2 linked regions of the Saccharomyces cerevisiae S288C genome follow. The protein of the gene in region 2 interacts with the protein of the main gene of each other region in a pairwise test. Each region holds a gene or a part of one and is shown on either strand. Other genes may lie near its edges.

Evidence for each region.
Region 1: the proteins of SHR3 (region 2) and YMD8 interact in a protein complementation assay, tested with the Saccharomyces cerevisiae proteins (2 studies listed by BioGRID).

What each region holds. Positions count from the first base shown.
Region 1 is NC_001145.3:202,352-206,111, reverse strand, and holds YMD8 (Ymd8p), read left to right. Parts: upstream 1-2,008; coding exon 2,009-3,337; downstream 3,338-3,760. Other genes in the region: CGI121 (Cgi121p), read right to left, coding at 15-470; LFT1 (Lft1p), read left to right, coding at 704-1,726.
Region 2 is NC_001136.10:76,339-79,631, reverse strand, and holds SHR3 (Shr3p), read right to left. Parts: upstream 1,207-3,293; coding exon 574-1,206; downstream 1-573. Other genes in the region: YDL211C (uncharacterized protein), read left to right, coding at 1-338; NOP6 (Nop6p), read left to right, coding at 1,666-2,343; serine/threonine protein kinase PRR2, read left to right, coding at 3,087-3,293.

The DNA of each region.
Region 1 (3,760 bases), on a different chromosome or scaffold from region 2:
TTATTAAAACATACTTTTCTTATGAGCGCTTCGTCATAAAATCTCGATAAATTGTCATCATTAAACTCGATCTCTTGTCCTTTTACTATAGAAGTCATAATCGTCCTCAATTGCTCTTTGTCTACATCGTCAGTATTAGTATGGAACTTAAGGCATATTAACTGTGACGAATCGTCTTTGATTCCGAATTTGAGGAAAGCATCACTAATATTGGAAGTGGGTGAAAGACATAGTACGCACTCGGAATTCAAATTTCTTGTTCTCATCTTGTTATATTTCACTTCTATTAAGGTCTTGTAAATTGCAGAATACATCTGCTCCCCCGAACAGACTAACCGGGGGTCAATAAAGGCAAAGGATGTCGACAATTCACTCATTTTAGAGCGTATTTCTTTAGCATTTTTAACCTGTTCAAACAATGCTAGTGAAACCTTGATATCAGGAAATTGCGGTATGATGGATACTACCATGATGATTGTATAATGGGCAGCGACGACGTATATTTGGTTATATCGACAAATTTGTTGACCGATAAAAGATTGTTGATGTATATTTTGGTTTGCAATTGAAATTTTCGCGCAAAAGATTAAACATGAAATATTGAAATCAATGGTATTAATGATCAACGAATATTACAGATCATCAATTAAAGAAACAAGCATTGTCAGAATCTAAGCTGGTTATTTTTTGGGAAGGACAAATTATGGACGAAAACAAAATAATCGACCAGTTGTTCAGTAAGGAATACACACCGCAAGATGACTCCGAGCAAGCCAAAAATGGAGATGTGTCGTTATATGGGTTATTAGATGAAGTAGCGAACGGTAGGCGGTTGATGAACTGTTTGTTTCATTCACCTATGCAAATGGGGAATAAATTGAGTACCGACAAACTTGATGGGAAATGTCGGCAAATACAAAGAGATTGGATTGATGAGGAAAAAACCATAACTATGAATTCTGGCGCTTTACAGCTGGATGGGCCAGTTCTATTTTCCTGGAGTCATAATGTAGCACCTACTTCTCATCAAGAAACTATAAATACAACCTTCAAGCAGGGCTCTCCGAGCAGAGGAAGCAACAAGCCCAAAATTACTACTACCAGTCAGTTATTTGATAGAGCTTCTGCTGAGATTGATAAGTGTATAAAGCCCAATAGCAAAAGTTGGATGGTGGAAGAAAGATTTGAGAGAAATGAGGCACATACAGCTGATGGCAAGAAACCTTCTACGTGGGCTAATTCCGATTTCAAAGTGGACCCGCTACAGAAATTCGTTGTTAAGGAATTGCCCAAAGAAAAGAAGAAATCAGACGGTGATAAGACAAAGAAAAATAAGTCGAAAAGGAAGAGTTTTTTTGGATTTTGGGGCCATTCTGGTTCTAAATCAGGTTCAAAAAAGAAATCCGAAAAGCCTATAGAGGCCAAAAATGAAATTCAGGATGAGGTAAGCCAAAAATCTGGCCTATCACCTGACGATGATACAACTTTCAGTGATAAAAATACCATCCAATCAAAGCAAGAGAGTATGAGTGATCAACAAGCTGAACCCAAAGTACACGAGCCCGCAGTTACTAACACTGGATGCAGTGAACATGATGATGGTGATGGATTTGAACAGGTACCTGCACAATCTAGTTATCATCCATCCAGCGAGCCCAGCATTGCCAGCACTCCTTCATTAACTCTAGATTCATTCATCCCATTACAACCAAAGAAGAAAATATAATAGATGCTTGTAGGCTTCAACATCTATTAGAGTCATCGGCGACGAGACGCCAAAAAATAAAGCGCAAAATAATCACACCCATTTTTTTTGTCGAGAATGAGAAGGAGATGGCTTAGAACTGGAAATATAAGGGATAGTGGCATCACGAGAAGCTGTTGTTCTGTTTTTTTAAAGTGTCAATTGGCCTGATTATACTCATAACTGCATTTTCATCACTTCCACGATCACTTGAAGTTGTTACAGCGAGTGTTTATACCTTCAATTCTCGTGTCACATTTTGCTATGAATAGGACTGTCTTTTTGGCATTTGTATTTGGATGGTATTTCTGTTCAATAGCTCTCTCCATATACAATAGATGGATGTTCGATCCGAAGGACGGATTGGGTATTGGGTATCCCGTGTTGGTGACAACATTCCATCAGGCTACTTTATGGTTACTATCCGGCATATACATTAAGCTCAGGCATAAGCCAGTGAAAAACGTTTTAAGAAAGAATAATGGTTTTAACTGGAGTTTTTTTCTAAAATTTTTACTCCCTACGGCAGTCGCTTCTGCAGGTGATATCGGGCTCAGTAACGTTTCCTTCCAGTATGTTCCCTTGACAATTTATACAATTATCAAATCTTCGAGCATAGCTTTTGTCCTTTTATTCGGCTGTATCTTCAAGCTAGAAAAGTTTCATTGGAAGTTGGCACTTTCAGTAATAATTATGTTTGTTGGTGTAGCATTAATGGTTTTCAAACCAAGCGATTCCACCAGTACCAAAAACGACCAAGCCTTGGTCATTTTTGGCAGCTTTCTTGTCCTAGCAAGTAGCTGTCTTTCTGGGTTAAGGTGGGTTTATACGCAGTTGATGCTTAGGAACAACCCAATTCAAACTAACACCGCTGCAGCAGTAGAGGAATCTGATGGTGCCCTTTTCACGGAAAATGAAGATAATGTCGATAATGAACCTGTTGTTAACCTCGCCAATAACAAAATGCTGGAGAATTTTGGAGAATCCAAGCCTCACCCAATTCATACAATCCACCAGTTAGCTCCTATAATGGGCATTACTCTGTTGCTTACCTCGCTACTTGTGGAAAAACCATTTCCTGGTATATTCAGCTCTAGCATATTTAGGCTTGATACGAGCAATGGCGGTGTCGGCACGGAAACTACCGTCCTATCCATTGTGAGGGGTATTGTTTTGTTAATTTTACCTGGTTTTGCAGTCTTTTTGTTGACAATTTGTGAGTTTAGTATTTTGGAGCAAACGCCCGTGCTGACCGTATCTATTGTGGGTATAGTGAAGGAACTTTTGACGGTAATATTTGGTATAATTATTCTTTCTGAAAGATTAAGTGGTTTTTACAATTGGTTAGGAATGCTTATTATTATGGCAGATGTATGCTATTATAATTACTTCAGATATAAGCAAGATCTATTACAAAAATATCATTCAGTTTCGACACAAGATAATCGTAACGAGTTAAAGGGATTTCAAGACTTCGAACAGTTAGGAAGCAAGAAAATCGCACCATATTCTATTAGTGTCGACCTAACAAATCAAGAGTATGAGCTTGATATGATTGCTCAAAACGTTAGTCGTTCATCCCAGCAGGTCTGAGAGCGATATAGTAAGAGAGAGAAAGAATAAAGGCAAAAATTTAAAACATGTATACAGCATACTTAAAAGTCCTCTAACAGGACATAAGCAAAGCACATGGGAATAGACAATACATCCGCACATAATTAAAAATATTTTACTAGATAGATTTTATACGAAGGTTCTTCACACTTTTTCATATATACTTTATTGACAGTTAATAAAAGAACATTATCAAATTTATACCTTTGCGTTTTAGACACTAAATTATTGAATACAGGAAAGAAGAGGCACTTAGATAAATCTTTAGAAATTTACTTATTTCTTTCATTTAAATTGGCCAATGCTTTTGGATCCATTCAACTGCGGCCGTAAAAATATCGATGCGCTTGCATTGTGTTCAACCTCTGTCTCGCCGAATCTTTAGCTGAAGTAAGGAAGAAT
Region 2 (3,293 bases):
ATATTGGCAAGAGGGTAAGTTGTGATGAGGTAACAGAAACAGAAGCACCGTCAAATCCGTTCCTAAATGTCCTTAATTATAAAGTAACAACCAACGGCGAGGGCAAACGAGATTCCTTTGAAAATGGTAGAGATTTACACAGAGCTAGTTCCTCAGACGGTATATATATAGCACATCCTTATTATGGGATGGCGGATCACGAATCCGGGAGATTTTCATACGTATCGTCATACAATGAATCTGCGGAGTCATCCATTGAAGAAACAAGTTCCAGTGCGTCTACTATTACTCGGCCAAATATTCAGCAAACCAATAGCTTTTTGAGAGAAATTATTTAAAAATAGAAAAAAGTGGATTCCAAGATTTTCGTACTTCTAAACAAGGCTGGTACTTGTTGCTATTTCTTTGGAATTATTTGTAAATTTATGCACGAAGCAGATAGAGTTTTATTTATTCAACAGTATTTATATAATAAATATTGATCTTACTATACAACTAGATTCGTATAATCGTCTGTTTCGTCACAGACGGGAAAAGAGGGACAAAAAGAGAAAATGTTAAAAATATTATGGCCTATTTTTTGGCGTTCTTCCTCTTTTGAGCACCTTTAGATTTGTTATCATTCTTTTTCGCATTGTCAACTTTCTCAGTCTTTTTACCGGCATTGGCAGCTTCTCTTTCTTCTTGAGCATAAAACTCCTTTAATCTTTTTTGCAAATCCCAGTTACTGTACCACAAACCAATTTGTAGGATGATAACACCGGCAAACATAACTAATAAAATTATGTTGGAGGAAGCAATAACTGCCAAACCCTGATTTTCCGTAACTTCTCCCCAATTATGGCTCACAGAACAGTCGATACCTGTTTTCACATTAGTGAGAAACACACAGATAGCCAACACGTACAACCCCAATGAACAATACTCAAACATCTGCAGTTCAGGGTTTGGCTTGAAAACCTTAATTGTACCACCAACTAAGCCAATACCGGCAACAACGCACAAAGTAACAATCACCGGCAATGGAGTCTCATGTAAAATTTGGTAATGTCTCAGTGCCAAATCGAAATGCTCTTGAGTAGAGTTAGGATTAAATAAAAGATGATAATCGTATGGCATGTTACTGAAGAAAACACCCATTAGGAACGTTGTGGCCGATAAGATCATGGCCGTACCGATAGAACAGAAATCTGAATATGAGAACATCGTTAGAGTTTTATCGTATCACGGGATTTTATGCTCTGTAGTCCAATGAATTTACGGCTGTCTTCCAAAATACTTAAATCTGTCCTTTCATCAACTTTTTATATTTTTCAGAGTTTTTACACAACCCGAAAAAATTGTTATCGTGTATTAATTTTAGTACATTATAAAAAAAGATGGAGAGGGAAAGAGCCACCAATTACATTGGCGAAAGGTGATGGTGTAAAGTAACGGCAACCAAAAACAATTATGGATGGAAAACTTGGTATGAGAGTACTATTATTACGAACTCCACATTAACTCGATTCACCAAGTCCTTTCCCCATACGTTTACCCGGCATTCCTGAAAATTTTCTAAGATTTTTTTCTTCTTAATCGATGAGCTTAAAAGGTTTTCTGAGAAAATGAGAAAGTAATCTAATGTAGAGGACAGGATAGAGATTGAAGACGTCTACAGCTAAAATGGGGTCCGAGGAAGATAAAAAGTTGACCAAGAAGCAGCTCAAAGCTCAGCAGTTTAGAAAAAGTAAGGAGGAAAAAGATCAAGAGAAAGACGTAAAAAAAGAGCAAGCACCAGAAGGAAAAAGACCCAACAGTGCAGCCGGAAATGATGGTGAAGAACCCGTGAAGAAAAAAAGAAAAACACGTAGAGGCCGTGGTGGTAAGGGCAAAAATGGTAAAAAGGGCAACAGATTTATTGTCTTTGTCGGTAGCTTACCTAGAGACATCACTGCTGTTGAATTGCAAAACCATTTTAAAAATAGTTCACCCGACCAGATCCGCCTCAGAGCTGACAAAGGTATTGCATTTTTGGAATTCGATGCTGACAAAGATCGCACCGGCATTCAAAGACGTATGGACATTGCCTTATTACAACATGGGACCTTACTGAAAGAGAAGAAGATCAATGTCGAGCTAACTGTTGGCGGAGGTGGTAACAGTCAAGAGCGTCTAGAAAAATTGAAAAACAAAAACATCAAGTTGGATGAAGAACGTAAAGAGAGGTTGACAAAGATGATTAACGACGGCAACCAAAAGAAAATCGCCAAAACTACCGCCACTGCAGCTCAAACCTCTGGAACAGACAACAAGCCTGTTCCTGCAGGAATTCATCCTGATAGAGCCAAACTACTTAAATGAGTACAAATTTAATTTTATACGCCATGTATCTTAGACAAAAAGAAAATAAAGGGAAAAACATAAATAATCGTGCAGAATCATGCTACTGCCAAAAAAAGAAATGGCAAAGATGCCCAATACGTAAACTCTTCCGGAAGCAATAGCGCCGCATTATTACCGCTGCTCTATTTCACTTTATCATGAAAGACGAGACGGCTGGTACTTTTTTTTCCCCAAATCGGAGCTACTTTTCCGCACTTCAAGTCCGGTGGGAATTTTTACTACTACCCCTTAATCAATGCACTCCCCCCGCAATGACGTACAGGGGTAACATGTCTAACATTTAAGGTTACGGCTGTTAGCATATTGGGGGTTATTTGAATTATAGGAACGCCAAGAAAAAGGACAGAGGGTAAAAACATTCTCGGTGCTGCCGGATTGCTTATTAAGACGTATCCGTTAAACAATCTCCGCTTTTTTTTTTGTCTAACAGCCGGCTCTCTTTGGCTAGTCTCCATCCCTTCGTCACCTTCGGCTGTGGTCACACAATAAGGAAAGGTGCAAAAAAAAAAAATAAATACGAAAATCTGGAAATTGAATTCTTTTCATTAACATTCATTCACTCACTGAACTTATTGTCAATCGGAACATATTTCCTTGCCTTTATGAATTTTTGAAAAGAAAAAAGTTAATAGGAAAAACTAGATAGATTGCAAAAACGTTCACAATAGCGTACGTAATCCTTTTACTTATCATACGGAGTGATGTCGTTGTCTAGAATCCTGCGATATAATCAGAGAAATAACAAAACTACAGCTTCCTTGACTGCAGAACACGCCTATTCCGATAATTGGGCATATTCCGTCTCGTTAGGCGATCCCACTAGTGTTGGTGTGAATATGGCTGCTAAGACGGGTGAGGCGCTAAATAAATCATATGATTCCGTTTTTTCTTCTCTCCCTGTTGCAGAT